Linked DNA regions of Alligator mississippiensis. The protein of the gene in region 1 purifies or fractionates together with the protein of each later gene. This does not show direct contact. Links are inferred from orthologs where the notes say so. Each region holds a gene or a part of one and is shown on either strand. Other genes may lie near its edges.

Region 1 (10,900 bases):
GGTAATTTAAGAGTTAAGGCCCACTCTATACAAGTATGTTGCAAAGAATACTGTCTAGTGTGTGGGAGTTAAATGTCATATCCCGCTGCACAGACTATTTATAGTACAGCACTATTTGGGAAGTGAAACTTCTTAAAGTTTTTTCAACCAGTTGTTTCAAAACTTAAACTTGAAACAACTGAGCACCCTGTTTTAGAGAGCTTCTGACATTTCAGTTGTTTCTGACTCTCACACTGTGACCCTCAAATGAGAAGGGACCAAATCTAGGAACTTTTGCTTTTTGGATTTAAAAGCAGGAGCATCTATTGCCTGACCTAAATGACTATTAGCTTGAATCCCATGTAGCCAATTTATAAGCTTCTATGTGATCCTGACACTGAAGGAGGACAGAGTGCACTGCGCATCTCCTGATGGGGGAGACTGTCAAGGGGTGAAGTTATACTTTTCTTTGACCATACTAAAGGCACTTAAAATGCAAGTGTCTGCACATTAAAGTTTGTTAACTCATGCTAGGTGCCCTCTGAGCATCTCAACCCTTGCCTGATGTGACACAATTTTAACTCTGGACTGTGCTACCTAGCTCGTGTTAGACTAACTTTAGTTTGCTTGTTTCATGTCTGTGCAGCAATATGCAGTCCTCCACCATCCCAAGATGCACCACATTCAGCACCCTCCTCTTTCTCCACCCAGAGCAGGGACAGTCCCCTGTATCTTGGCTCCTAGCCACACCCCTGCTCACCAGTTCTCTAGGGGCAAGTCAGAGCTGTACAGTTAAGAAATGGTGTTAACCCTTAACATGTGACTGCTCACAGCAAGTTCTAATGTTAATGCTGCTTAACATTCCACAAATTTAGTATGGTCTAAACGTAATGTATGCCTTCATCCTTAAGCCTTAGAGTCAAATCCTTCTACTAGCCACCCTTTGAAAGATGACACCTCGAAGTCAGCCCTAGGCTGTCTGAATTAAACCTAGACTTCTAAATCTAAAAACCTGACTTAAGATATTTAAGTGTTTTAGATCAAAGGTTCTAGAAACAGCTGTTCCAGCATGGTTTGGTGGTCTGAGCCAACCAAGGATGATGCATTACGTGAAGGTGTTTTTGTTCTATAAGATTTGTAGCCAAAGCCATGAATGTATTAAGAGACTCTCCCTCTCCACTCACTTCTGCCATTGTTTTGTTGTTTGTTGTCTAGTTTTTGCCAGTGTTGCTCCATTGACTTTATTAGACCTATTCATGATTTATACCAATAGAGATCAGAGCAGTACCAGGCCTTTTGATTCTAAATGTCTTTGATATTCCCACAGACATTATAAAAGTTTTGTTTAAGGCTGTCAAATATAATTTGCTTTGCAAAACTATTCCAAGAACTCAGTGAAGTAATTATCCATATTACATAGATTTCATAGACATTAGGGCTGGAAGGGACCTCGGAAGATCATCGAGTCCAGCCCCCTGCCCAAAGGGCAGGAAGTCAGCTGGGGTCATAGGATCCCAGCAAGATAAGCATTCAGTTTGCTCTTGAAGGTGTTCAATGTAGGCGCTTGAACCACCTCCGGTGGCAGGCTGTTCCAGACCTTGGGGGCTCGGACAGTAAAGAAATTCTTCCTTATGTCCAGCCTGAAACAGTCTTGTAGTAGTTTATGGCCATTCGACCTAGTCGTCATCCCTTGGGGCGCTCTGGTGAACAAACGTTCCCCCAGATACTGGTGGTCACCCCTGATAAACTTATAGGTGGCCATCAGATCACCCCTGAGCCTGCGCTTTTCCAGGCTAAAGAGCCCCAGGGCTCTCAGCCTGTCATCATAGGGTCTGCTTCCCTGACCTCTGATCATGCGCGTGGCTCTTCTCTGGACTCTCTCAAGCTTCTCCACATCCTTTTTGAATTGTGGAGCCCAAAACTGGACGCAGTACTTCAGCTGCGGCCTCACCAAGGCCGAGTACAAGGGGAGAATGACGTCCTGGGATTTGCTTGAGAAGCATCTATGGATGCAAGCCATAGATATTAGTCTGAAGTCAGGCGGAAGGCAGGGTAGAGATATACCTTGCAGACTAACTGGAGTACTGTGTCCAGGGTTGGGGCCCCACACTTCAAGAAGAATGTGGGCAGATCTGAAGGACTGTAGCAGAGAGTGACAAAAATGGTTAGAAGCCTGGGAAGCATGACTTATGAGTAGGGCCTACTGAAATTCTGGTTTCATGGATTTTGCAGAAACTGCAAAGTCTGGGATTGTCTGTGAAGTCAACAACAACAAAAAAATAATAAAAATAAAATGCTGGTTCCCTACCTCACTGCCACTGTGGTCCAGCTTTGCAGTCCGCCCAGAAAAGGAAGATGCCAGCTGTCGGGGTAGCATGAAGGACAACAGAAAAGATGGCCACAGCACCTTCAATGTCCCCCCACCCCAGTTCTAGTGCTGCTTAAGCCCATGCTCAGGTATGGGCATCACCCCAAGCCAGCACCATTGAACTGTGATCCTGAGTTCCACACAGCTGGAGCTGTCCTTCGCTCCAGGACAGCCCTCCCCCTCACTCTCCAGAACCCAGGCCTGACCCCCAGCAGCCTGGGGCTGGTGCCAGGGGAGGCTGGAGCCTCCCCTACCCAGCTCCTGCAGAGGGGCAGAGCAGGGCAGGAGTAGCCCTGGACTCAAATGCTCCTATTGAGAGCAATTTTGCTCCCGACACTGTGTGCACGTGTAGACATGCACCCTGGAGCACTTTAATGAACCTGAATCTTCTGTGCAGAAAATTCAAATGCATTAACCGCATGTGTAGATGTGCCCAGTAAGGACAGTGTCAATGAAGGGAGAACTGGTATGGTAACAATAGGGACCCTCAATATTTACTTTGAATATGTCTAAGGAGAGGGGTCAGGAATGCTATGCTTTTGTTACTACATCGTGTACACTAACATTGTGTTCACTAACATTTTCAATATTTTCTTTACAACCATAAGAACTAGATAATTTAACTATCATTTTAAAAAACTGACATGTGACATAAGGATCTGGGGCTTTAAGGCCAATTAAGTGAGGCTGAAATTCTTCCTTTTAATATATAGGCCTCTGTAAGGGTAAGAGTTGGGCATTACAGTCCAATATGCCTCTCTTTTACTTCCTTGATGTTCTAACCCTGTGACTGTTCTTTATAGTAAAAATAAGGGAAGAATTCAGAAGAGGGAGATAGACAGGCAGGATTCCTATCTGTGCAACCCTGAAACTTTCCACTGAGATGTCCAACAAAGAAGCTGATCGGACCAGGGTTGGGGGGGAAAAAAAGGAGTCAAGGATCCCAGTCGCATAATTTAGATACAAGACTATTTCTCCTGTACTAAATAAGAGTAAAAAGATCCTGATTATTTGTGGCCTTTTCAGAGGCTTCTCTCACCACCCATGAATTTTAGGTATGAACTCAAATTTTTGTGGGCAGAACTGGAAATCTGATGGCAAAACCTTGTAGTGCAGATTACATCTAAGTAGTCAAGGAAGAACCTGCTGACTACAAAGTATAATTTGCGATGATGGACTATGATAATCCAATGTCACCATATTATTGTGCAACCTCAGGTTGTCATAATGTTATTTGGTAGTTCTGTGTAGCTCCATCCATGTAGGATTCCTCATACTGGTAAGACCAAAGAACTAAAAAAAAAAAAAATAGCCAGTGTGACAAGACTATGAGTAGAAGAGAGAGGTCTGTGCGCATAACAACGTTCAGTCAATATATGCCCAAGGTAGAGGGAAGTAATTGTGCACCTTCAGCCAGAAAAACAGGATCCGGTTACTGCTGAAGTTTCAAGATTGGTCAGAGTAACTTGCTTGGTTTTTTTCATATGAAACCTTCTTGCTGCAAGCTGTTAATGAGTCATCTTCCTCCAGGGCACAAAGCATGTCATCTACTTCTACACAAGTCGCAGTGAATCCGTCTTCAGCCAATCAAAGAGGTGGAAACAGGTGGCCAGGGCGTATTGGGGGCCTAATTTCTCCTTACCCTCAGAGTTTTTTTCAAGTTAAGCATTTCTTAGCCCAATCTGAGAACAGGAAATTGCGGAGACTGACTTATCTCTGCTATCACAACTGTGAATAAGTGTATTTGTCTATGTAATCTAGAAGCTGAAAAGTATATTAACTCTTTGTCTGTCCTTAATAGGGAGAATCAGCAAGAGGATTTTAAATGTATTACTAACTCATGCTGTTCAAAAGCTTAATCTCTCTCTTCATGAAAGCACAACCATCCATCTGAGCATCTCAAGTACACCCCACATGGAAGCGGCATTTGTGTGCCACCACCTTTCATTTTTTTTCCTCCCTTTGACTGCCTTAGTTTGTGGTAGTTCAGAAAATCCCTAGGTGATACATGTACATTTCCTAAAGTAATGTTGGTGGAAATTTAACAACAGAGATCTTCCATTACCTTTTCCCTGTATGTTTCTGCCTGTATGCTGCCCTATAAGCAGCTGGCTCTTGACTGGTAGGATTGTAACTGAGCAATGGCCACCATAAGACTTCGTAGGCTAATATAAAGAGGGGGAACTTGGATCCTGCTTGTTCACACGCATTTCAAGCACATCAGTTTAAGGATAATTTACTTGGAAAAGGATTAAGGTGTATAAATCTGACATTACTTACAGTAGATGGCAGTATTGTACTCACCACAGCCAATTATAAGCCTTTCACAAAATGGAATACAGCTGTTTGAGGATATATTTGGCCACTAATTCTGAAACCAATTCTGAATTCAAAAAGATCTATTTATATATCTATAGGCTGCTGTCTTTTAAAATGACACCAACTACATTTAAAATTAGTGGAGAAATGGCAGAGCATTAGGGAAAGAAACTATGTAGTGAAGTCAACACAAGTTGGCAAGAGTTAAGGACTGAGAGAAAATTGTAGATGTTGGTCCACAGATGGGTGGAAGCCTCAATTCATAATTCCAACAGAACTTGTAAAGAATAATTTGTGGATGTCAGAACTAATACCTTCCACAGAGATCTGCTTTCTCTGCCTTTTTGTATGGACTAATTTCACTAAATTAAATGTTGTTTGCAGTCCCTAGGTTTTCATATGCCAAATTAAGAGTTTTGAATTCAGCCTGAAAACTGGAAGCAGGGAGGAAAGCAGGAAGAACAAAACTTCTATGGATCCAACAATACCATGGGAGCCCAGACCAAGTGTTCAGGGCATAGTTGATTAATGTTTAGAGCTTTAATCTTCCCTGGTAAACTTTGTAGTGCTTTTTCAGCTAAACCAGAAGGGTGGCAGGGGGGGAAAAATGAGCATAAACACAGCCTTTTTCCATGTCCCTTTCCAGTGGCTTTAGAGCAGGAGGGAGAAACTAATAGCCCATGTTAGGCAGAGACTACTAACAAGGCTTCAGACTTGGGAAACAGCCAACAATGCCGCATCATCGCCCTGGAAGTGAGCTTGGGCGTGGGAGGAGAGGCTCAAGTCATGCAAAGAGTGCCTGGTGGGGAAAAAGCATTGGTGCTCTTTATGAAGAAAAAACAGAGGCGTTGAAGGGGAATCAGCAGGATCAAGATGGGGAGTGGAGTGGGAGCCCTGTGATGGGAGTGCCTGTTTGGGGACCTGGGAGTCAGGTTGCGGTTTTTCTTCTATGCCTTTTGGCTCAGATCTCAGGTTCTTGTGGGCCAGGATCAAGTGGGGGCACCCGAATCCCAAGACCTCTGGGCTTGGGCATGCATGGAGGATGCCTGCCAATGGATTTGGGAGTATCTGAATTCCCAGGGTGAGAGGCTGGGATGGAGGATGCTGGCAGGTTGTAGCGCCCTGCATGGGGTGGAGAACAACTGAGTTCTGCCTGCTCAGTCAATACGGTTTTTGGAGCGATACATGATTTGGGACTGGTTTCTTTGATCTGACCTGGAACAAGAAATATATTATTAATAATAATAATAATAATAATAAAATCCTCTGCCTTGCACTTGCCTTCCCTTGGCTTTGCGGAGGAGAAAAGCCACTGGGGAGCCCCAGTCGGGTGTTGCTGATATTTGCTGAGGAGGTGGGAGCAGGACAGGGAAGCGGGGGGCTGCCCTGCGTGCACGGCCCAGGGCAGGTTCCGGGGCACCAGAGGCCACATCCCCCACAGCAGGGGCGAGGCAGGAACTGCGCGGGCGTTGGCTGCGCGTCCAGCTGCCACTGCGAGCCGCGCTCGAGGCCGGAAGGTCCGGGCGCCTGTGGCGGGAAAGGGCTGGGATCACCCAACAGCCGTGGAACGGGCAGCCCCACACTGCGTATGCGCCAACCCTAGACCCGGGGATGAGGAGCATCCGAGCGTACGGACTGGCACCCCTTAAGCAGCCCGGTCACGCCGCGCATGCACAATACAACAAGTTTGGTAACACCCACCCAGCTCCGGGGGAAGGGGGAAAGAAAAGGGTTTGCAGAAAGCCTCGCCCACTTCTGGGAAAACAGAGGCGCTTCTCGGCCAATCATCGGAGAGAGAAGAGGCGGTGGGCGGGCGGTGGTTCTGTCTTCAGACAGTTGCGAGCGCTGCTGGCCGGGAAAGGTGCGCTGATTGGTTGCTGGCTTGGAAGGGCTAGGGATACAGGGGTGGGGTCTCCTCGCTGCCGTGGCTTGCGGCGTGCGCCCATTGGTTGGCGGGGGCCGGGGTGTGTGCTGCCCGGCCGGCCTGGGCGCCTCAGAGTGTCGGAGGACGGGGAGCGGCGCGGGCCGGAGCGGAGCGGCAGGTGGGTGCGGCCGGGGGGCTGGGGTCGGGACCGGGGTCGGGGCGTCGGACCCCCTCACGTCTGACCTCCATCCCCCCGCCGGGAGCCGGGGACCGGCGGCGGACGAGGTGCCGGGTTCCTCACCGAACACATCCGGCGGCCCCGCCGCGTGGGGGACACGAGTTTCTGCCAGCGCCGCTCCCAGCGGCACCGGCCCAGCGGGAGGGAGCACCGCGCCGCGCCTCTCGGCCTTTCCCTGGGGGCCGCCTGCGCGGCCGCACCTGCCGGCCGGCCGGCCGGCCGGCCCACCCGCGCTCGGCGAAAGGCAGGGGACAGCGGCACCTTGCACACTGACGGCAGCGTGTGGGGTGGTAGTCGTACACCCACCATGCCACATGCACATATACACACAACCTTCTGCCTATGTGTACGCACACACCCACATATGCACATGTACAAAATCACAACCATGCGGTGGCGTGTGTGAACAGCCTTGCATGCCTGTGTGTGTGTGTGTGTGTGTGTGTGTGTGTGTGCACGTATACAATCGCAGCTTTACATGTGTGTGCTTGTGTACACACGTATCTGGTCATGTGCACACATGTGGTCATGTGTGGATGTAGATTTGTGTGGTCACCAGTGTGCGTGTGTGGAGATGTGTGGTCACAAGTGTGCATATGTGCACAGAGTCATAAAATCTCAAGCTTTCTTGAGGTGATGCTCACTGTATCCAAAGCTGCAGAATGCTGCTTTCTGCACCAGTTGCACAGAAGTTAAATTCTTTTAGCAGCAGCATTTTGAGGGATACTGCTAGGAAAATGACTGCTTGGTCCAGGCAGTGTTCTGGAGAGTGGCAGGCTTCTAAATAGTTTGCAGGGGTGTGTGTGTGGACACCAGGTGTTTCCTTAATGTGCTGTGTTGGATTGTGATCGTTCCTTACATTCTAGCACCAAGGTCACATTTATTTCATGGAAATGTGTTGTTGTACTTCTGAATGACCCCGCAAGTTTTGTCTAATATGTATTTTAAGCCTAGATGATGGAGCCTTGAATTTACTTCAGCTGAGCTGTGCTTTTTTTTCCTTTTTCTCTGTTCTGGTGAGATCGTCAGAGGAGATCAAAAGAGATGTTTTTAGCTTAGATGTTGTTTTGCTGCTAGTAAGCAAACTTTCCTTTTTGGTTTTTGAAATAACTAATTTCCTGCCTGCTTTCTGTCTAAGGCAGAGTGCATTAAAGAAGCACTTCAGATAAGAGATTAAGTTGCAGACTTTGCTGTTTTGATTGGGTGTTGCTAGGCACAGATTTACAAAGTTATTCATTACAGTGGGGAGAGAGAGAATGAGGCAGTTAAGACCTTGGGATCAGTTGATCAAAATATAAAAGTGAATAAGATCTGTAGTCAGTTAAACTGTCTTTGTACTCGGTTCTCATTTGACCATATCACTTTTTCTTTTAAACAATTTTTGGCAAAATGTTCTAGTACTTCTGGACTGGTTAAGTTACTGCAGTGGGTGTTCTCAGATGCTTCCTGTCTGCTGCTTTTTGATATTAGTTGAACTGAAAACATATGTACATAGTACCCTGCTGTGTACATCAGAAATGGCATCATGAAATTGGCATGCATAAATAACTTTCAGATTGCTTTTTATGGGTCTTTTTTATGAGTTGGACACTGCAGATGGGAATTAAAATCCTGATTCAAGGTATTGAGCATTGAAGTGCTATAAATGTTCATAGCACCATCTAGCTGGCCTAAAACTAATGACTTTGCAATGAATATGTTTTGAATTAGTCATCAGTTATTAACTATATTAAATGTTAGCTTTCTTTTGGGGAAAATAAAGATTCTAAAAAAAAAAAATGTACTGTGTGACCGGAAATATAGGTAACTTGAAATCATGTTTATAGTACATCAGGAGTCCTTTTAAGTGTGTGTGTGTGTGTGTGTGTGTGGAACTGAATGAAAACCTCTAGGAACATGTGGGAGATGATTCAAAGCCTATTGAGATTATTAGGCAGACAAGGTTCTTTGGGTAAATGTGATATCTTTTACCCTCTGCCTGAAGAAGGATGTTTGTACCCAAAAGCTTGCAAAGAAGAATTTTCCCAACTATTTTAATTGGTCTAATACAAGATATCAGCTTTACCCAAAGAACCTTGTCTGCCTATATCCTTAGATCAATATGGCTACAACCAACACCCTTGAAACATTGAGATTATTAGGCATTTTGAAGGGAAAGAGCATTGGATTCAAGCTGTACAGCAGCTTCATGAGAGGGCGAGTCCTTTCGTCTTAAGATTGTTGGACTGCTTGCTTTTTGTATTTTGGCATGTTGGTAACATGATGGATAACCTGGAAGTGACTAGATGAATCTAAAAGTTGAATTTGTAGATGGTACATCATTTAAAATGGTTAGCATTTGACTAATAGTAATTTCCTAAGATTAAACAGTGAAACTGAGCAGTTCAGTTTCACTTTCTGGTTCTCATACCTCACTGCAATAATGTTTGGGTTCACAAGACTGAAGGGGAATAGTTAAACGAAGCTTATGTGTGAAGTTGAGTAAAACCATTTAAGTGAAAACTGATGTCCTGCTGATGTTACTTGATATTTTAGTGTAAGGGTAGATGGCCTAATGGCCTTGGAGTTTACAGTATTTTGTAATATTTGGCAATAGCTGTGTCCTGTCTACCCAAACAACATTGCATTGTTAAAAAGCTGTTCTGCTACATGGTTCATGTAGAACCTAACTGGGCAGCATCCTTCAAATGCTCTTTTATTTTAAGTTAGGGAAGTGATATTCATGAGTCAATTCCCTGTAAAAGTGCTTTGGGGTGGGGTGGGGTGAGGGTGGGGGGTGGGGAGAGGATGGAATCAAGCTGTTGTATCTATTAATGTGCCCTGAAGGCTGCTGGGGTAGTATAGAAAACTAAATGTGTCTAGACTGAAGCTGTTTTCAGTTAAGTTTGTAGCTTCTATAGTATTTATTTTCAGGATGAGTGACAGGCATTACACAGTTTATTTTTGCATTTACCTGAATTCATTTAAATTGTCTCAATGTCACGTCCAGTTCAATACTAGGAAAAGAACACTGTTATGGAAATTATGTGGTGAAAGAAGAGTTTAAGTGTCTGTCTAAAGATATGTGCAAGGACTTTTAAGTGTTAGTGGAATATTTTTTTTAAATCTAATCAAATATTTCCTTGAAGATGTGGAACCAAAACCATACAATAGTAGTACATGAGAACGGAAAAAGACTAAACCAGTTACATTTCACAATAACAAAGCTAATAGAAGTAAAGTAATAAAAATGGGGAAAAAAACAGACTGAAAATTCTTTTTGGTTTTAATAGTTGCAGCTATTAACATAAGTAAAATGATCTGAAGACTAATAGTGACCCTTTTAAAATATGAGTAGTCTTTTGTCAAGCATGCTTTGTACAGGAGTACTTGACAATGCATGGAAGTCCAGGTTAGAATCAGATAAGGTTTTGTAGATACTCCTAAGATTTTAATACTTTTCAGGAGAATGTTCTCTGTCTTCTAAATGTTTTAATTCATGCTTAGACAAACTGAAGCTCCTCTTTGCTGGCTCTGCAATAGTTGGTAACCAGAGCTATGCTGCCCCATGGTCTGCCCTGAACTAACAGGGAAGAAAACGGAACCATTTTAATTTCAGTTCTGTTTGAAACATGGGCAGTGGAGGAAGTCTGGGTGTGTACCAGCTAAATGGAAGATGGTAGAGAAATGGGTCACTCGCTTCCAAGAAGGAAGGCTTGAGGTGAAACCTTAAGAACTAATTGGATATTGAGAGGACTGTTTGTATATAGGGAAATCAGTGTCTTTTAGCTTTGTACAAATTTCTCAACACTTCAAGGCCTTATCTACAGATTCCAGAGAGAACTTTAATGCAGTTGTGAACAAGTGTTATTCTCCTGGTGGTTGGTAGAAGGTTTCAGACAAGCTCAGACCCTTTTTTACTATCATGTTGTCTAACCCTGCAGACACCTGAGCCTCAGTTGCTTTTAGCTTCCACTGGTGAAGTGTGTTTTCTGGCAATTCAAGGTCCCCAAAAGACTTAGGGTTTAGACCAAGTCTAGAAGGAAGAATGTATCATTCTCTGTTGCTATGATGATTGAATTCCCGACCCCCTCCTGCCGTTGTGAAACTTTTTTTTTTTTTTCCTTGGTGACCAGATATTGGTTAGAAAATA
Region 2 (10,112 bases), on another chromosome or scaffold:
ATTGTCCACTGTAACCCTGAGGTCTTTTTCTGCAGAGCTGCTGCCCAGCCAGCCAGCCCCCAGCCTGTACCAGTACATGGGATTATTCTGTCCTAAATGCAGGACTTTGTACTTGTCCTTGTTGGACCGCATGAGATTTCTTTTGGCCCAATCCTCCAATTTGTCTAGGTCACTCTGAATCCTGGCCCTACACTCCAGTGTATCTGCCACTCCCCTCAGCCTTGTTGTCATCTACAGACTTGCTGTGGGTGCAGTCTATGCCATATTCCAGGTTGTTGATGAAGACATTGAACAAAACTGGCCCCAGGACCAACCCCTGGGGCACTCCACTTGATTCTGGCTACCAACTAGACATGGAGCCATTGATTACTAGTCTCTGAGCCTGATGCTCCAGTTTTTTTATCCACCTTACAGTCCATTCATCCAGCCCATACTTCCTTAGCTTGCCTGGAAGAATGCTGTGGGAGACCATATGAAAAGCCTTGCTAAAATCAAGGTATATCACATCTTCAGGTTTCCCCTGCATCCACAAAGCCAGTCACCGTGTCATAGAAGGCAATCAGATTGCCCTTGGTGAATCCATGCTGACTGGTCCTAATCACCTTCTCCTCCAAGTACTTTGAGATGGATTCCTTGAGGATCTGCTCCGGGGACTGAGGTGAGGCTGACTGGTCTATAGTTCCCTGGGTCCTCCTTTTTCCCTTTTTTTAAATATGGGCATTATATTTGCCCTTTTCCAGTTATCCAGGGCCTCTCCTAATCGCCATGAATTTTCAAAGTTGATGGCCAGTGGCTCTGCAATCACATCAGCCAACTCCCTCAGCATGCTTGGGTGCATCCCATCCGGCCCCATGGACCTGTATATGTGCAGCTTTTCTAAATAGTCCCTAATCTTATTTTGCCACTGTTGCCTGCTCACCTCCTCCCCAAATTGTGCTGCCTGGTGCAGTCATCTGGGAGCTGACCTTGCTTGAAGACTGAGGTGAAAAAGGCATTGAGCACTTCAGCCTTTTCTGCATCCTCTGTCACAAGGTTGCCTCCCGCATTCAGTAAGGGACCCACACTTTCCTTGATTCTCCTCTTGCTACTGACATACTTGTAGAAACCCTTCTTGTTACCCTTCAGGTCCCTTGTTAGCTGCAACTCCAGTTGCACTTTGGCCTTCCTGACTTCATCCCTGAAGTGATGAGCACCAGGACAAACCGTATCCAGTCCAGCTAAAAGAGAAAGTACAGGAACCCACAGAATGAGTTAAGATGGGGATTTGAATATTCTTTATACATGTAAAATAATATTTAAAACTTTGTATTGCTGTGTAAAGTCCCTTCCTGACACCTGATGGGGGGCCAGTAAGGGAGAGGCTTTTAGGCATCTTTTTCTCACAAGAGCTCAAAGTATCCTCTCTCATATTCTGCCTTCCTCTTTGCTAGTAGAAGTAGGGTTGGAGTGGTATTGTAGCCATGATGGTCCAGGAAATGTTAGAAGCAAGGGTTCTTTTTATGCTATTTTTATGGGGCAGCCATATAGTTGGGAGAGATGTGTGACAAGCTTTTGAGCAGAATATACCCTTCTTCAGGTCTGGCTTCTCTCACGGGAGGAGGATAGTGTTAGTTTGCTTGCCTTGTTGGCCACTTATTTCACTTAGTCTGTCTGAAGTCATTTTATTAGTCTGCCCATCTCATTTTGAAAGTAATCTTTAAATTAAAGGCATATCCATGCTGGATGCTGGCTTTCATTGCCACTGTTCCCAACCTCTGAGTGGAAGGGAAAAACGGTTGTATGGAATCCAGTGAGTGGAAGGTTACAGAGTAATTGCATTTCAAAGCATAGATTTCACTGAATGTGGAAATAAATTGTGCTGGAGATTTTTTTCTGTTGTCCAATTTCTAAAATGGCCTGGGAAACAGAATTTATTTGCCCTTCAGTATGTTTAGCTTTAAACCACTTGAAAATAATTTTACAGTGATTTTTTTTTTTTATATAAGACCATATTTACATGCAATTATTATTTGTAAACGTAATGCCTTTCCTGAAATGCTAAGGTCTAGAGAATAAAAAGATTTTTTAATTTTGAATCACTTAATTCAAAGAAGCACAATGCACTGTATGACTTTTTAGGGATTATTAAAAAAAAACACTTCAAAAGGTATAAAGAATCTTAATTCTTCCAAGGCTAAATCTGTTATCTGCTTCATTTAATTATTGCCCTGGATCTAGCCTGTGTAGGACTGACATTCAAATGGTTTAGGTAGCTGTGTAATTACACTAAAATTGCAAGCAATAAGCTATTTTGAACAAAGCTAAGAAGCTTTGCATTTGGACAGAATAACACTGTCATGTTTGAACCAGTGATGGGGTTTTTTGGGGCTCCTTTGACTTAATGCAACAGTTTCTTCTACTTCTTAACACAACATGTATTTAGCTTCAGTTCTAGGGTAATGGCCATCTTGACTATTACTTGTAAAATGGAGCTTTTCTTTTAAAGTGGATTACTGAGGTTCTTAATTATGAAAAAGTTCTGCAAATTGAAGTATATTAAAAACAATGGAAATTGATCTAAGCTTATAAAAACTATAAAATGATCTAGACTTTATCATTTCAAACACTTGTTTTGGTTCTGTTTTGTTTTAAGAATATGCATGCCAAATGTTTGTCTCTTTTGATGATTTGTAATATACATTTTTTTGACTGGAAACTTTTTTGTACAACACACTCCAATAAATGTTTTGCATTTTATTTGTCTCCTCCTTTTATTTAAAACAAACCAAATTCCAGTCAAAGGCTGAGAGAAATGTTGCATACCCAGGGATGTTGCATACCCATGTAGAGAGAGGATAAGGAGTGTCATCGTTGCTATTCTGTCTCCTAAGAAGATCTGGTGTGGTGCAGGGCAATAAATAAGCCCTTTTTATTTTGAAGCAAATATGCTGACCCTTACAGTCTTAATGGGTAAATGCTTAAGAAAAGCAAATATAGAGTTAGTGTGTCAGCCGCATTGCAGCTGAGGCTGGGATTTTAGTTGGTTTTTAGACCCTGCTTTAGAAACCAATTTTTGCTTTTCCGAGCCCCTTTTCCCAAAAAGACCAATAGTAGGATAATTGGGATTCTTAGCATTTATAGCTTCCCACCGACTAAGAATGGGGACTAAGCCACAAACTTTTTTCCTCATGCAGCCTTTGATGACTATCAGTCTAAGATGGGCTTAGATATCCAGCTGGTGATTTTTTTTTTTTTATCTCAACCAAATACTGTCCACTGGTTTATGGTTCTAGTTGCTGCATTTAAACTGAATAAAGTTGTTCCTGTTTACTTGGCAGTATTGGTTGGTTTAGAGGACACCACCTGCATTGAAGTCTCCTGAGTTATCACATTGGGTCTCTTAAGAAACATCTGTTCACAGTAAATGCTTAGCACCCGGTATCCCCAATGCATTTTCTGAACATAAGTGATCAATCCTCCCCTCTGGAGGTACGTGCACATCTTAATTTTCTAAGTGGGCAAACTGAACGAAAGGAACACACTTGAATTACTTTAGGTTTTTTTGAAAGCATTGTGACCTAGAGGGTAAAGCCCTGGGCTAGGACTACTGAACACATGGATCATGGTTTGGCCTTCTGAGTCATCTGTGGCCTCACCGATGATATCTCTGCTTATTGGAAGGCTGTTATTCTCGTATCGGGACTGCCAGCGACAAGAGCGCTGGACCGGGACTCGGCCTGAGTTCTGTTTGAAAGTCTGATGTATTGTAACCTTGAGTTTCTCCTGATCCCATCTGTTTATACCAGTTCCTGCAGCACCTGGATTTTTCTTGTAGATCTACCATTCAAATACTAAATGTGGCCCAGCAAATCTCATGTCTATTTTACATTGTATTTGCATAGTTGAAGCAATTGTGTATTTAAAAGTTCTGTTTCATACAGAAACCAGCTGTGGCTGATCCTTTTACAAGAACAGAGCAAAACAAAAATGAATGGTTAATTTGTAGCTTTTTGAGGGGCAGCTGATCACTTGATTTATAACTCAAATTAGTTGTAGACAAGGACAAATTTTAAGGGTTTGGAAATTGAAGGGTTGGGTTAAGCTTGCCACAATAATCTTTGTCTGTTGGTTTAATATCCCAGAGCGGGGAAGAACTAGCCAAAGTTCACCTAAAGCCTATTTTTTTTACTGCTCAGCTGGTAAAATAAAATAACTATCATCCTAGAAAGAGATTCATGGTGCCTGCAAAGAAGGAGACTGAGATATTGCCGTAATAACAAAGCTGTACCACAGCTAAGAACATTTCATTTTATTGTATTCGCTAAATGAAAGAAAAAGCGTGAGCCGGGCCCTCCAAAATAGCTCTGCCAGCAGCAGTAGGAAGTAGCCCTTGTGGAGGGCCAGCTCTAGCCACTTCAATCTTCAGGCCGTTTGCCGCGGTAGTGCTGGTGGGCCTTGCGTTTAGGGCACAATGATGAACAACATTAAAAGGAGCTGGGTAGGTGTGTGGGAGCCGTGGCAGACCTCCCGTGCTTGCGCATCTCTTGCTAGCGCGCCCGCAACTCCCCGGCACGGCCGCGGGGCCGCTCCTGCCCCGGCCTCCCGTGTGCGCGGCGTGCGGCAGGGGCGGCGCCCGGCCTGGTGGGACTCCAGCCCCTCGCGCAAGACCAGCGCCGCGCTTGTGGCTTATCGTGATTTATGTATGGACCGCGGAGCAATAACGGAGCTGTCCGGGGCGCGTGGGACTGCCTTGGAGCACTCCGCATCCCTGCCCGAGAGCTCCGCCTTCCTGCCGCCAGGGCCGCGGGGCCCCGCAGGGCGCGCCGGCTCCCGGGGGGCGGGGCGGGCTCCACGCCCCGGGGGCGGCGCTGCGGGCGGGGCCCGGCTGGAAGTGCCGGGCGGCGGCGCGGAGCAGGCCGGGAGCGGCGGGGACTGCGCCATGGCCGGCAAGTTCGGCTTGGACTTCATGGCCGGCGGCGGGAACGAGAAGCTGGACCCGGGGCTCGTCATGGAGCAGGTGAAGGTGCAGATCGCCGTGGCCAACGCGCAGGAGCTGCTGCAGGTCAGGAGAGGCGGGCGGGCCGGGGCCGGGGCCGGGGCCGGGGCGGCGGGGTGGGGTCGGGCCGGGCCGGCCCGGGGCACGTGGGCCGCGCCGCGCGCGCGTGCTCGTGCTGACCTGTGCTCTCCGCAGCGGATGACGGACAAGTGTTTCCGCAAGTGCATCGGGAAGCCGGGCAGCTCTCTGGACAACTCGGAGCAGGTGAGCTGGTGCCGCCCGCGCGGCCCGAGCCGGGAGAGGCCTGTGCAGCCGCCAGGACGTGCCCGGCACCAGGGCTCCGGCCCCCGGCAGCCTGGGGTCGCTCCTAGCCGCAGGGATGCCGGGGCCGGGCTCGCTCTCCTGGGGGGACGGGGCCTCGCAGGATTGTGTGCAGGGGTCGGGGCGTTATCTGCCGCGCAGCTCCTCCCTGAGCGCGCTGTGGCGCTGTCCCAAAGGGAACTGTTTCCGTCGCAGAGGTGGGGAGATGCAGGCCAGGCCAGGCCAGGCCAAGTACTACTTGCCTGAGGTCCCTGGGAGGGTCGGGGAGGGTCTAGCCCCTCGCCTCGTGCCCCACGCACCTCGCCTGCCTGCGCTGTCCCAGCGCACACAGCTCTGTTGCAGACGCCTCGGGTTGGCTGTTGCAGGGTGGGATGGATCTGCTGCTACTCCTTGTCCTTCCCATCTGCTGGGTGATCAACAGGGATCCTGCTTTTTCCTGATGATAAAAAAAAATCACAAATGCTCTGCTAAAACTTCTCAAATCCATGATTAAAATTAAAGGCCCCCACCCCTCCTACAGCCCTTCCCATACCCTGCTGGTGCCCCTGCTCCCCCAGCCCTGCCGGAGGGGGCCCCAGCTGCCAGGGCTACAGACCGGGGTCTACAGCCCCCTGCCCCTGCTCCCCCCCGCCGTGGGCTCAGGTGGGGCGGCTCCCCACTGCTGCATGCACTTCCAGGGGGCAGGAGGGACCTGCGCTCCCCCAGATCTGTACCTGGGGCAGGCATGGGCTGAAGCTGCTGCCCATCTGGATAGGGCTTGGGGTCCAGGGCTGCAGTGTGCGGCTGCAGGGCCCCACCCAGGAGCAGGACAGGGCTGCCCCCCTCCGCCCCCAAACAACTGCCTCCAGTGCCAGCTGCAGCTTTGGGGGGTGCAGCCCTGCACCGCTGCCCTCGCTGCATCCCCACGTGTAGGCGGCGGGGAAGCGAGAAGCAGCGAGCAAGTTTTCTGCGTGGTTTCTTGGCTCGCTGCCCTGCTCGATCAGCGGGGGAAGCAGGGTGGCAGGAAACAGTGGCGAGTAGGGGGTCTGCTATTCCCTGCTGTCCTGCTCCCCCCTTGCGACTGCGCAGCAGGGAGCAGAGTAGCCATGCAGAAAACCTCTCCGCTTCTCAAGCCCCACCCAACTGGGCAGCAGCCCCAGCCCTGCCTAGCTCCCTCCCTACAGGGGTTTCTATCCCCCTTTCCTCTCCCATCTTACCAGCGGGAGCTACTCTCAGGCTGCCTGGGACCACATGCATGTCTGTGCACATGACGCCCCCTGTCCTTCCACCTTCCTCCCACTCCCTCCCAGCTCCTTGCAAAATGGCATAATCTGTGGGTTTCTTGGGTAAAACGACAAATCTGCATTTGCCTCTGGTAGAAAGCAAAATCCGTGGTTTACTCCATTTTTCCATGGGAAATGGAAAACCCAGATCTCTGGTGATCAGGGGAAGTTGCTTGCTTGATTTGGATTTGTATCTGTCTGTTTCTCTCTCTTTAAAGTGTCTTTGCATTTGTGGGTGAAAAGTGCTGTGCAAGAGCTAAGTATTATTGTTATATTTCAGAAATGCATCGCCATGTGCATGGACCGGTACATGGATGCCTGGAACACAGTCTCACGAGCCTACAACTCCCGGTTGCAGAGGGAGAGAGCCAACATGTAATAGGCTTCCAGCAGGCCTGGTAACACCCTTCTGTACCCTCTTCTCTGCGAGAAGAGACCTGAATTCTGAATAAATAGAAATGGACCTTCTTAAAAATGAAAGGAATGACCAGTTTGGATTGTGGGACTGAAATATTTGTGATTTGGCAATTCCAGCTCTCATCCTGCCAGAGCATAAATCCCCATTGAACTGTTTATATTTTTACCCCATATTAATCTACTTGAGCTCACAAAGCCTGGGAGAAATCTGGCTGGACTGCCAGTTATTGCCATACTCTCTCCCAATGCTTGTGAGACTGCCAGGGGTTTGCTTTAAGAGCCTGGATGGACCCCCAGGACCTCTCTGGCACTGGTTAAGGAAAGAGCTACAAGGTGCATGGAATCCTTTGGGAAAGATAGGGCATTGAGCAACCCCCTTATGTGCCTTTCCCCAGGAAGCATGTGTGAGTCTGTATAACAGCTTTATCCTGCTGGTTTTAGCTGTGGGTTTGGTGCATCTGGTACGGAAGGTCAGTCGCAGTCCTAGGGACATAGTTTTAGTGGATTAAAAGAGGTTCTGAGTTTCTGTAAGTGAGGGTGGGAGGCCCATCTGGCCATTATACTGTTAAGTGCTGCAAACTGGCCTGTGGTGCAGGATGCTGGTAATGCTACATATACAGTGAGATTGTGCTATCCTTGCTGTACCCTCCTCATCAGCTGGAAGATGAATGTTTTGGACTTTGTGTCCCAATTTGCCCCTATAAGGAGTTCAAATTCTGGCTCCCGCCATCCTGTCCCAGACCCACATCAGTATTGTCATTTGTTTTATGAGACTGTCACTCTGTTTCCATGTGACCTGCTGGTTTCTTTCTGATATTGAGGAGACTGGTAGAAAATCCATAAAGAATATGAACAGGGAGCACAAACCTGCATGGAATTATGTGTAGTAAAGATTAAAGGAGCTGAATTCAGCTACCTAACTAATTGGGCCTTTGTGTGTTCCCTCTTGTTTCTTCTCTCTTTCTTTCCCATCTCTGAGCTGAGTTCTTCCCCTGCCACTCAAGAAGGGACAAATCCCTTATCTAGGTATATGATTAAATATCTGTGACCACTTAGCAGCTGGCAGTACCACTCGCACCAATTCCACTGGGCCCCTTGGGGAACCGACCAAGAGCAGGCTGGTTACATGAGGGCCGTATGCTCCAGGCCATAATCCCCAGAAGAACTTCACTGGCAATTGCAATTCCTAAAGTGCTCCCTTGCTCTTAACCACCGGCTTCTCTCAGACTGGTTGTTCTTTAGACTTGGTGAGTAATGGATCTTAAAGAGCATGGGGGCTGCTTGCAGAAAAAAACAAACACTTGACTGGAAGAAGCAGTCTTTGACCCAGCTCTGCAGTGTCGGTGAAGATCAGGTGCTTCAGCAGGACTTTCTGGCACTTTTCGCTAAAGCTGATACAGTTGATTATTAGATAAAAGTGCTAAAAAAGCCCTGCTAAAATGGCTGATCTTTACATGCATTGGGTGAGCTGGGTTGAAGTAACATGCTGCCTCTTCTGAGCCTGAGCTGGACTTGGTGTAGGAATGCACTGAGTTTAAAGCAGGATTGGGGTTTTTAAATTTATTTTTTGGGGGGGGTCTGCAAACACGCAAAGTGTTGTAATGTTAATCACCTGCCACCCAGTGAAATTCACTGCTGTGAGTTAGGCATCAAGCTTCCTTATACAATGTTGGAAGAAAGGCATGGTTGTAGCAGTGGGACTCGCAGCAGCCAGCCTGATGAACTGTCTATGCCACCTGGTTGGAAATGCTAATGAGAAGTGAGGTCTGTTCCTGAGAGGAGGTTAATGCCTAATTCTTCTTGGATCTGTAGCCACACACACCCTCTCCTGGATGCCTTGATCTTGAAAAACAACAAGATGTGTTACCACTACTACAGAATATTAAGAAACCCAGTTGTTAGAGCACTTGACTAGGAGATCTTACAGGCAATGTAAGATGATGAGGTTTGAGTTTCATCTCTGATTAGTTGCATGTGCACAGAGATGACTGCAGCAGGGTGCAGGGCCTGGATAAAGGGGTGGTGAGTGGCCGGATGCAAAGCCGGCTCAGCTCCGTTGGGCCCTCTGAAGTGCGGGACCTGGGGCAGTCACCTCAATTTGCCCGCCCCGCCCCCAGGATGGCCCTGCACATGCATAGGTCAACCTCTTTTACAAAAGAGGGTAGTGCCCTAATATAGCCTGTAGCCTGATTTTTTAGGGCACTCTTCAAACTATGTAGAGTGGAGATTTGAAAACAAGTTCCCCCCACTTCCAGGTAAGTGCCTTAGCCACTGTATACAATGCAGTATAAGGGTATGGCATGACAAGGCCCTGGAGAAGCTTCATGGCTGAGTGTCCCAAGCAGAAACAGTGGCTTCCCGCAGGCTAGAGTTAGGTATTTAAATACTGTATGTCCTCACATACAACATTATATTAACAAGCTAAATAAGTACAGACTAGAAAAAAGTACTGTAAGGTAGATACATAACTGGTTGAATCATTGTACTTGGTCAGTAGTCCTCAATAGCTCAGTGTCTAGTTGGGAGAGGTATCAAGTGGGATTTCCCTGGGGTCTGTCCTGAGTCTAATATTGGTCAGTGTCTTCATTCATGATTTGGATGATGGGATTGAGTGCAGGCTTAGCAAATGTGCAGATGACACTAAGTTGGGTGGAATTATGGACACTCAGGAGGGTAGGGCTAAGATCCAGAATGATCTGGATGGACTGGAGAAATGGTCTGTGATCAGTAAGATGAGATCCAACAAGGGTAAGTGCAAAGTCCTGCTTTTCAGACAGAATAATTGTATGCAGACTGGGGAATGACTGGCTAGGCTGCGGTACTGCAGAGAAGGACCTGAGGCTTACAGTGGACCATAAACTGAATGTGAGCCAACAGCGTGTTCTTGTTGCAAAAAAGCCAACAGGATCTTGGGTTGTAACATGAGTGCCACTTGCATATTAAGGGCAGTGATTCTGCACTGTCTGGCACTGGTGAGGCCTCACCTGGAGTACTGTGTTCAGTTTTGGGCTTCACACTTCAGGAAGGACATGGATAGTTTGAAAGGAGTCCAGTGCAAGGCTACAAAAATGATCAGGGGCCTGCGAGATCAGATCACTGAGGAAAGGCTGAAAAAGCTAGTGTTGTTTATCTTGAAG
Region 3 (10,635 bases), on another chromosome or scaffold:
GTTTAGGAAGAAGACAAGATTTATCTCCTTATCTAGGCCATTGTTTTGGTCTACGTGAGAAAGATCCTGACTTTGCTCAAAGTCTTAACTCTTGAATTTTATCTTCAGAGGGTTTTTACAAAGTTAACCTAAAAATGACCCTTAAGCAAATATCCTGAGTTCCGAGAGATCAAACCCTAGGGCCTTTTGACAAGATTGGAAAGAAAAGGTCACTTGCAGTGGTATGGAAGTTCCCCAAAGTAATTAAAATGATCAACAAAAGAAACTAATTACCAAGTAAAAGAATCTGTAAAGTAAGATCCGAGCCAAATTTGGGAGTAATGACAGGTTTGGGTAGGAGTGGCCCAGGACAGCAACTCACTCAATAAAAACTGTAACCTACTCTCCCAAATTGGAGGTGACTATACTTGCAGAACAACGAAGGAAGAATTGCAAGTGTAGGCCGGATCAGACTGATCACCTGAACCACCCTCTCCATGAACACGAATCTCTTAGTTCATGCTGAAGCTGCAGAGCGCCCGAAAGGGACTGAAAGAAGGGGACTTAGTCCTATCAGTATTGAGGCCAGCCCATTGAATCGTATTGCTGAGGCCAGCCCATTGAACCGTACTACTGAGGCCAACCCATTAAATTGTACTACTGAGGAATGAAACCATATTTAGGTGTTTGGCTTCTCGGAATTCTAGGATTGTAAGTATATTATGAAAATAATAGTATTGATTCAAATTTAACTTTTAGTTGTAATTGTAGTTGTTTTTGTAATACTAATTCTTAGGAAGTTTGGGAAGGAAGTGCATTTGGAGCATTGTTTCTGATATATGTAATTATTGTGTTCTTAATGTTTGTGGTATTTCTTAAAGCTAAGCAGTGTTATATGCGTAGCAAAGAATTTTAAAATAAAATTGTGTTGTATGAATTAAGTGTGTAATCATTGTGGAATCGTGCGAGTAACTAACTACTCCCCCAGCCAGTGCATCAAAACGAATCAGTAAATTGTGTGGGATCTTCTCTATTCCATAACCCACTAGATACAATACCAGCTCATCTACTCCTGCCCTTAGCTGCCAAGCAGGCTCCATCCTCTCCTGTGGCGCTGCTGCATCGGCCTTCCCTGCCCCGTGCTGCTGGGACTCTTGCTTTCTCCTCCTGCTGACCAAACACCTTGCAGGTGCGGGCAGGGCCATAAGTGGGTGCACACAGCCTCCAAAGGACACTGATCACGGTCCTGGCCTCCAACACAAGCTGCCCCATCCCCTGCCACACCCCAGCCTCCACCCCATAGCGACTCCAGGGCTCCCAGCCTGCACCCCACCTCCACGCCAACACTCCCAGCCTCCTACATGCAGCCCCTGTCCCTGCACCCCAGCATCCCTGCCTGTATGGGTGAAGGGCAGGCCCCCGACATGGGCCCAGATGGCCCATTCAGTGCCAAGGCTCAATGGTTTGGACCCACTGGCCTTTCCCGGCATCAGCCCAGCTAAGGCCTCTCCCTGCCCAAAGGGTGGGGGTCACTCTTACCTTGGTCCCAGGGCTCCTACAGGAAGGACCTGACTAGAATTGGCTTCTCACTTGGGCCCACAGGGGTCTGACCTGAGCCCCCAGTCTTTGCATGCCCCACTTCCTGGGGCCATCTGGCTCCCCGGCCCAGAGCTTACCCCCACTCCTGGGAAGGCCCCAGGGCTACCAAGGGGCCAGGGGCAGTGTGACTGCCTCTGCTCCTGGGGCTCTGAAGGCCACCTCTGCCCCCACCCCAGGGCAGGCCAGGGCCTGGTCGCTCTGCAGGCTCACAAGCAGAGTATGTCCATGGCTCCACTGCAGCCCAGACCCAGGCTGCCCCAGCAATGCCTCCTGGGCTGGGGCCAGGGGAGCCCTGCGCATGGCAGAGGACCCAGCAGGGCAGCTCATCTCTGGACGTAGGGCACCCAGAGCAGCAGGATGGAGCTGATGTACAGGGAACTTAGAGCAGAGTTGCATGCCGGTGGCTGAGGGAAGCTGCCTGCACAGTGCCACTGGGGTCAGGAGAGAGCCTGGTGCTGAGTACGGGCCACGCAGGCCTGGCCTGGCAGCCTCCAGAGACCGGAATGAGGCAGAGACAGTGAGTGTTAGGTCAGGGGGAGCAGTAGCAGGACCAGCTGTGCCCAGGGGTTCTCTGCACGTGGCCCAGGCCAGAAGGTGTGCAGGGCACACAAATAAAAGGGGAAAGAAAGTGTGATGTCAGCGCGGGGAGAGCATGTGGAGACAGACAGAGCAAGACTTGTGGCAGCAAGGCGCTGAGTATGGGCAGCGTGGGGGGCTCCTACATGTTTGCCCTGTACTGAGAGCAGTGCTGTGCTGGGTGGGGGGTGGTGCCAGGGCCAGGTTCAGGCCCAAGCAGGGCACTCCCTTGAGCAAGGGCAGCTGCACAGATGTTTGCTGAGGGAAACTGATGAGAAGTGGGTACCACGGACTGTACTGAGCTTTGGGTGTTTGGGTTTGGCATCTCATTGGCTTTAGACTTAGATGGCCAGTGAATGTGCTCTCTTGTTAAACTTCAGACCAAAAAGAAGGTGGTTTTCCCAGGGTGGAATTCACTGTTCAGACTGCCCGGTCATGCTATACAGGGGACCTGGGGGCAGAGGAGGCCAAAGGCAAATGGAAACAAAAAGGCTAGTGATCGCTATTTAAGAACAATTAAAACTATGCCTGTTTTGTATGGAAGCTGGCTGCAGTGTGACATGGCCCTGAGATCAAGAGCTGTGTGAACACGATTGTTCTTTTCCTTCCCGTTAGGAAGACTAGTGGACATGAAATGCTGAGGAGGGACTTGGCTTTGTTCTGAAGCATCTGTGGTGGAAAGCAGTGTTCCAGCAACGGGATTGTTGGAGCAACAAAGTGCGAGAAATGTGTTTACACTTTGGTACAATTGTAGCAGAAAGCCCCCTTTTCCTCTTGCCTGCATTTGCTCTCCCCTCTTTAAATATGTTTTTCCTCTTCTACCTTTTCTTCCTTCCTCTTTCTTTCACTTTAAGATAAGGAATTGTGTTTTAAAATTTGTATGTGTGCATTTTGTATCACCCTGTGTATTTTGGTACTTTTATCTATTTGTGTGCCATGGCATTGCTTCTGTAGCTTGTATTTTATACTCCTCACCTTTCAACTTTCAACTAAATGTGTTTAGTTTCATAAGTAAGTTATACATTGTAACAATGTTAACAAGGGCAGGAAACAAACTGCCCTTCCCTGTATCAGGCTGGCCCCTGAAAGAGTGAGTGAATCAGTGATTGAATGTGTAACATGGTAGCAGGCAGCCATTAACACCTAGGAAACTGCAGATCAACCAACTGAAGAACTCAATAGAAGACAATGTAACAACCGGGAAATCTCTAAACGTCACTGATCAAGGGCTAGAAGCCCTGGCCTGAGTTATTCAATGCCGGGGACCAACTTTTGGGCTGAATATCTCCAGATCGACCACTCCCAGAGCCCTATTCAAAATTCATCAATGGACTCCCAAACCTGCACGTACATGTGGATGACCCCGGGGGCTGACAGATGTCATCCAGTAGCCACCGAGGGGGGAAGTCCCATGAGGGTCAATGACCCCTGGATTGGGCAAACCTGAAAACTGGGGAGTCACCAAAGTCTGCCAAGGACAGATAAAAAGCAGTGAAAAGTGACCCTCAGCAGCACCCTCTTGATTTCCAACTCGACCAGCACCTGACCTGTCCAGCCAGAAGGACCAGCCGGCAACCCCCTTCTGGAGGATAACACCAAGCTGAAAGAAGCCTTGACTGGCCATTGACGGCAGACTCCAGCACTTGTAGGATAGGTATACCTGACTCTGTAGCTTGCTACTGTGTGTGTGTGGGGGGGGGGGGGACCAGCCCCAAGGTTTATGATTTAACTCATTACAGTGTTTCAATCCGCCTAATAAACCAGAATTTTAAGGATCCTGAGTTGGACATTTGTAGCCAACACAATAATCGTCATCATCACAATAATACTAACAATACTACCAATAACAAAGTGGTGTTTCCCCAGGGTGAGGCTCACCCCTTGCACTTCAGGTGTGCTGACCCCTGGGATTTCCCCACACAGGAAACTCGACTGCACAATTTGTGGCAGTGCGGGACTGCATTCGTGCTCTCCCTGGCTTGCCTGCAGACAGGCTCTTCTGTGACTGCAGACATCTGGGAGGCAAAGGAAGAGGAAGGCTGTGTTAGGGTGGGTGTGCAGGTTGGCTGGAGCAACCTGTCCCGGGTGCCCTGGTGCTCTCTTACCGGCTGCGTGCTGCTGCAGCAGGGGCATCCTCCAGCAAGCAAGTGCGGCCAAGTCCTCTGGGTGCTGCAACTGGGGTGCCTGGCGACATGGGCCATGCAGGTGTGTGGTGTAGCGTGCTCCCAGCTCCAGCCCTCAAGGGTAGCCTGTGTCTTTCCTGCAGTGGCTGTGGCATGGCACTTTGTGACCCCTTTGGAAAGGAATACGTGGACCAATGGCTGGAAGTTGCAGCAAGGTAGGTTTACATTGGAGATCCAGGAACACGTCTTCCCCATCAGAGCAGGGGAGGACTTCCCACCAGCGGAGATGTCAAGGAGAGGCTGGATGGGCACTGGTCCAGGAGGATCTAGGCCCAGCAATGCCTGTGCTCTGCTGTGGTGGTGTCCCGGGCTTCTGGGCTGTGCTGATTGCCCCCACCCCCCTTTCTGCTCCATGTGTCAGGTTTTGAAGCCTCTCCCAGAGGCGCTGGGGATGGGGCTGGGCCGTGCCAATGCTCCTGTTGGCTCCAACCCGGCAGAGTGCTGGCTGGAGGGTCTTGCCCCCACGCTCAGGCTGAGTCCCAGCTGCACTGGGGCAAGGAGGGATTTCCCCCCTGCTTGGGGGGTGCCTTCTTCTGCAAGGTCTGACTTGTCTGGACTGGGCTACCCTCGGACTAGGGGCAGGGCTCGAACTGTGCGGGGAGGGAGTGCAAAACAATTGGCTGCCCTTCACGAAGCTCTGATAAAATCGGAGACCCCGCTCACATTTTCAAATCTTACAGGGGGCTGTTGTCTCTTTCGGGGGGCTCAGCCCCCGCAGCTGCCCCGCCATTCGAACCCTGACCGGGCCCCGGAGACGCGCGCCGGCCCCGCGTGGGACCTGAGCCCGGCCGAGGCGCCTGCAGGCCTCCGCCGCGCCGCGGCACGCGCGAGGACAGGCCCGGGCCGGCCCAGCGGAGGCCCCGTGCGGCCGGGTGCCCGGCGCAGGCTCCCGAGACGGGCCGGGCCGGGCCGGCCCCGCAGGCCTCTCCCCGCCCGGGCGGCGCGCGCCGGAGGCTCCGGGGCGGGGCGGGGCGGGGCGAGGGAGGCCGGCGCTGCGGAGCCCACCCCGGCGCTGTCGCGACTCCGCCCCGGATCCGGCCCCTCGGCTGACGCGGCCCCGCCGCCCGCCTGCGCCGCGCTCGGCCCCGCCGCCGCCACCGCCACCGCCCCCGCCCGTCCGCCGCGCACGTGGCCCGCGCCCCGGTGCCTCCGCGTGCTGCCAGGCCGGGCCATGGGCTCTCTGGTGCTGGAGGACGGCGCTGTGCTGCGCGGCCGACCCTTCGGGGCCCCGGGCTCGGCCGCCGGCGAAGTGGGTGAGTGCGGGGCGGGGCGGGGGTCCTGGGCTCTGCCCGTGGCCCACCGGAGCGGGGACCCGCGGCACGTGGGGCCGCCCGGCCCGGCCCGTTCCCGCTGCCCCCGCGGGTGGGGGCGGGGGCTGGGCTGGGCCCCGGGGCCGCTGCCCGGCTGTGCCGCCCCGGGGAGCCGCTGACGCCGCCCCGCCCCCCCGCAGTGTTCCAGACCGGCATGGTGGGCTACCCCGAGGCCCTGACCGACCCCTCCTACAAGTCCCAGGTCCTGGTGCTGACCTACCCCCTCGTGGGCAACTACGGCGTCCCGCAGGATGAGCCCGACCCGCTCGGCCTCAGCCGGGTGAGTGCCGGGGGTGCTGGCGGGGGCCGCAGAGCCAGCCAGGCCCGGGCTGCTGGCAGCCGGCGGCAGGCTGGCATCGGCTCTGCTGTGAATTTGGCCGGAGCAGCCCGGACTCCCGTGGGCCCCGGCGACTGTCCAGCTTGGCAGGGCTGTCCTCCAGGGCTGGCCAGAGGGGCACAGCTGGGTCTGCGGCCGCTGGGAAAAGACGCTGCGTGCTGGGGCTGGCTGGCTGGCAGGGTTGCCGTTCAGCCCTGGGCCAGGGCAGGGCCCCTCTGCTGTGCTGTGGGTGCTGCCTTGCCTCGTGGCGCCAGGCAGTGCCTCTCCCCTTAGGGAGCCAGCCTTGAATCTGCAGCCCTGGGCGGCTGCATACTAGCCATGCCACCTGTCGGGCTGCGTTAGCATCGCTGCCCAGGAGCCAGCGTGTGCCAGGACTGCTGGCTCCCCTGGGGCTTTGCATCAGCACAGCTCTGCCATGAGTTGGCAGGGAGCCCGTGCCCATGCAGCCTCTTGCAGGCCTGCACAGGGGGCCCACAGGGCTGCCAGGAGGAGTTCCAGCCTGTCCTCCCTAAGTAGCTGGGCCAGGGGTGTCTCTGGCTCCCTGGAGGCATCTTGGGGGCCATGTCCAGTCCTTCATTGTTGCAGGACACTTGCCAGTAAGGAGTCCCAGGGTCAGAGTCCAGCCTTGCTATTGCCGGCAGGTGCCCTGTCGCCCCCCCCCCCACGTGGATCCAGCTCTGTCCTGACTGGTCCTGCAGGGCAGCTGGCCTAACCCCTCTCCACCCTGCTCTAGGTCCTCTGCTCAAGTCTGGCCTTGGGGGTGTTCCTGGCCATATGTCCCCCTTGCCCATGTGTCAGCCCCGTCCTTCAGCTTAGCTGGTTCTCTCTACAGTAAATGCATGCTCCTTGGCTGTGATGTCCCTGGCCTGGGCCCAATGGGTTTCCTAGCCCCTCACTGGCGTGTCCTGGGTCACACCTGCCCTCTTCATGCTGGTGGCATGTTACACATTGGTGCACCCAGGGATGCCACCACCAGCACCTCTGCCCTCTCCAAGGGCCTCTTTTTTCCTCCTGCCTTGGCTGATTCTGGGCAGTAGGAAAGCCTGAGCATGCCCCTCCAGGGTGCCAGGGTCCCTTCCTGGGCCCCATATGGGAGAGGGCCAGGCCCCAGTGTCTGCTGCACCCTGAGAATGGGGCACGCACAGTTCTGCAGCCTTTTGCCCCAGGGCAGCTCCCTGCTCCCCCAGGCCCTGCTCCCCACCCTGCTCACCCCACCTCTGCACACAGTGGTTCGAGTCCAGCAAGATCCATGTCGCAGCACTCATCGTGGGCGAGTGCTCCCAGGTTTGCAGCCACTGGAGCGCGGCCCTCTCCCTGGACCAGTGGCTGAAGGAGCAGAACATCCCCGGCCTGGAAGGTGGGCCTGGGCAGGGGGTGGGGTGCGGTGGGGTGGGGCCTACAGAGAGCTCTGGTGCTAATGCCCATTGCTCCCAGGGGTGGACACCCGTGCACTGACAAAGCGAATCCGGGAGAAGGGGACGCTGCTGGGGAAGCTGGTGCCAGATGGGACCCCTGAGAAGAGCCTGCCCTTCGAGGATCCCAACACGCGGCACCTGGTGCACGAGGTCTCCCTGAAGGTATGGCCAGGCCCTCTGCCCCGTGGAGGGGGTGGGGGCCAAGGGGAGGATAGGACAGTGCTGAGCACATGGGTGACAGAAGCGTCCTGGGCACTAGGTTGTTTCCCCACTCCCCTCCAGTCCTGCTGGTCTTGGGGGTCTCTGCCTGTGCCCTTCCTCCCCGCTGGCTCAGGAAGTGCTGTCAGCTTCAGGCTGGGGCCCATGCTCCTGTTGTCCTGGGTCAGCAGGGGCTTGCACCTGGCCTGATGGCCATGTGGCTGCTGGACTCTGACCCTCAAACCCCACAGGAGCCCCGAGTGTTCAACCCCAGCGGCTCGGTCCAGATCATGGCTGTGGACTGCGGCCTGAAGTACAACCAGGTGCGATGCCTGTGCCAGCGTGGAGCAGCCGTGACTGTGGTGCCCTGGGACCACCCCCTGGACAGTGCAGGTGCGTACGGGCCCCATCCAACTGGGATCAGAGGCGGTCAGTGGTAAGGCTGAGTGTGTGGGTATGAGGGCCAAGGTGCCAAGGGTGGAGCCAGCTGCATGTGCACAAGAGCAGGAGGCCTGGAGCTTGCCAGGGTGGGTTGAGGGACAGGAGGCACCTGGGGCTTGGAGCCCTGGTACAGTCACCCCAAATGGTGCTAGACCCAGTGACAAATCGTCTCAGCCATCAGTGCTGGGAGAGGGGGAAGGGGAGTTGGGGGTGTGCTGGGCAGGGCAGGGGCAGTGCCTGCTCCGACCATCCTTGTCCCTTAATCCTAACCCTTGCCCCACAGAGTTTGATGGGCTGTTCATTAGCAATGGCCCAGGAGACCCACAGCGCTGCCAGGAGACTATCGCTGGCCTGCGCCACGTGCTGGCTGCACCCCAGCCCAAGCCTGTCTTTGGCATCTGCCTGGGGCACCAGCTTCTCTCGCTGGCTGTGGGCGCCAAGACCTACAAGATGAAGTGAGTGTGGGGGAAGGGAGGCCTCAGCCACAGGGCCAGTTGGGCTGGGCTCCCAGCTCCTGGCACAGAGCTGTGGGGGGCTGGGGGCTCAGGGCTTTGCCCCAGCTGGGTCTGTGCCCATGGGAGTGGCCCTGAGCGCTGGCATGGAGCCCCCCCTCCCATGTCCCCTACAACCCCTCAGCCCAGTCCATGGGGTTTCCCGGGTCTCTCATGGGCCCAGAGAGGGGAAATTTCCTTCCTGCACCCCTAACCAGCTGCCTTCCTCTCATGCCCACTGGTGCTGCAGGAAGGCCCCTGCCTGGGGTGGGGATGGCCAATGTACCCCCACCCTCCTTAGCGTGAGCTCTGCAAGATGTGTCTGACCTGCCCTGCCATGTCCCACAGGTATGGGAACCGTGGACACAACCAGCCATGCATCCACGAGGACTCAAAGCGCTGCTTCATCACCTCGCAAAACCACGGCTTCGCAGTGGAGCCAGGCAGCCTGCCTGCTGGTTGGGCCCCGCTCTTCACTAACGCCAACGACCACTCCAATGAGGGCATTGTGCACAACACCAAGCCCTTCTTCAGGTGGGGAGACCGAGGGGGTGGGAATGGGCTGTGGGGCGGCTGCCACCCTGGCACTCCAGGCGAGGTCGGGCAGTGCTGGGGCTGTGCGAGGCTTCGGACTCTTCAGGGTCCGAAGCAGCACCTCCGGGTGGAAGCGCTGGCCTCGTTAGGCTTCCCGAAGCGGTTCGGAGCTCCCGAAGAGCTTCGGAGCCACCTCGGAGATCCAGCCATAGGGTATAATGGGGAAACAATAACATGTCTATAGCTTTGTTGTTTTTTATCCGATCTGGATGAAATTTTCAGGGGTGGTAGACTCTGCAGAGAGGATGAAGTCTGCTAAGTTTCAAGAAGATAGGTATAGGGGTGTGGGGGGAACAGCACCCCAAATGCTTGAAAGCAAAACTCATGTCATGTCTAGGCATTACCACATAGCAGGGTGAAAACTGCAGGAGTAGTAGCTCTTACTGAGGCCACAAAAACCTGCCAAGTTTCAAGAAGATCAGTGTAGGGGTTTGGGGGGAACTGCCCCTCAAGCTGCGGACAAGCAAAACTCATGCCATGGGTGCTTGTGGGACTGACTGTCTCTGGCTTGGGACGAGGAGGGGAGACATTGCTGCAGGCATGGCTGCTAAGCTGCTGTGTTACCAGTTACCAATCAATCAATCATGATTCACTCAGGGACCAGGGACTCGGGGACCAGTTCAATACACAGGACCTAGCTAGTACATAATGACTTAAGGAGCATTAATTAGCACCTACAAAACCAGGCTAAAGAGAAGAAAGAATCAATACAATCAACTGCCCCAAGACAAATGCAGTCTTGGCACAAGTTTTGCCTGTCAGCAGCTAGGGGTGCAGGGCCCCAGAACCCCCCTGCACCCATCTCGACAGCTGGCAGGTGTTGTGGCCTCAGCAGGGGCCACCATCCCTGCAGCTGTCACCCCACTGCGCCTGAACACATGCAGTGTTACCCATGGCACCACTTTTGCTTGTCTGCAGCTTGAGGTGTAGTTTCCCCCAAACCCTTGTACCTATCTCCTTGAAACTTGGCAGGCTTTGTGGCCTCAGTAAGAGCTACCAGCCCTGCAGTTTTGACCCCCCTGTGTTGTAACACACAGCCATGACATGAGTTTGGCTTTCAAGAATTTGGGGTACAATTCCCCCAAACCCCTACACCAATCTTCTTGAAACTTGGCAGGTTTCATGCTCTCAGCAGTGGCTACCATCCCTGCAAGTTTCATTCAAATCAAACAAAAAACCCCAAAATTATAGATATTTCATTGATTCCCCATTATACCCTATGGCTGCATCTCCGAGGTGGCTTCGGGGCCGGATCGAGGTGGAAACCCGGTCCGGAGCTCTGGATCGGATCGTGGCCATCCGAAGCAGCCGGATCGGATCGCTGCCAACTCACACAGGCCTAGTCATCATGGTGATGGGGTTGGCCTGATCCAGGCACCACAGTGTTGTGGGAGACTGGCATGGGCCTGTGGTGGTAGGGCAGGTTGAGCTGGGGTAGGGGTTGTCTAACTGTCCCAGTGCTGTCCTGGCAATAGGGTTGGCCTGGCATGGGTACCGCTGTGGGCAGGCTGG

The links. The genes of interacting proteins can lie anywhere in the genome.
Region 2: the proteins of MAP3K14 (region 1) and TIMM13 purify together in Homo sapiens (affinity purification with mass spectrometry; 3 studies listed by BioGRID and IntAct, with this or other methods). This does not show direct contact. The link is inferred for Alligator mississippiensis from reciprocal best matches to the Homo sapiens genes MAP3K14 and TIMM13.
Region 3: the proteins of MAP3K14 (region 1) and CAD purify together in Homo sapiens (affinity purification with mass spectrometry; 3 studies listed by BioGRID and IntAct, with this or other methods). This does not show direct contact. The link is inferred for Alligator mississippiensis from reciprocal best matches to the Homo sapiens genes MAP3K14 and CAD.

The regions. Positions count from the first base shown.
Region 1 is NC_081827.1:161,163,383-161,174,282, forward strand, and holds the start of MAP3K14 (mitogen-activated protein kinase kinase kinase 14), read left to right. Parts: upstream 1-6,615; 5' UTR 6,616-6,708; intron 6,709-10,900.
Region 2 is NC_081839.1:11,747,637-11,757,748, reverse strand, and holds TIMM13 (mitochondrial import inner membrane translocase subunit Tim13), read left to right. Parts: upstream 1-4,878; 5' UTR 4,879-4,918; coding exon 4,919-5,041; intron 5,042-5,170; coding exon 5,171-5,239; intron 5,240-6,838; coding exon 6,839-6,937; 3' UTR 6,938-7,899; downstream 7,900-10,112. UniProt on the Homo sapiens protein: Mitochondrial intermembrane chaperone that participates in the import and insertion of some multi-pass transmembrane proteins into the mitochondrial inner membrane.
Region 3 is NC_081824.1:144,778-155,412, forward strand, and holds the start of CAD (CAD protein), read left to right. Parts: upstream 1-5,401; 5' UTR 5,402-5,508; coding exon 5,509-5,590; intron 5,591-5,787; coding exon 5,788-5,927; intron 5,928-7,211; coding exon 7,212-7,341; intron 7,342-7,418; coding exon 7,419-7,561; intron 7,562-7,848; coding exon 7,849-7,990; intron 7,991-8,321; coding exon 8,322-8,493; intron 8,494-8,877; coding exon 8,878-9,063; intron 9,064-10,635. UniProt on the Homo sapiens protein: Multifunctional protein that encodes the first 3 enzymatic activities of the de novo pyrimidine pathway: carbamoylphosphate synthetase (CPSase; EC 6.3.5.5), aspartate transcarbamylase (ATCase; EC 2.1.3.2) and dihydroorotase (DHOase; EC 3.5.2.3).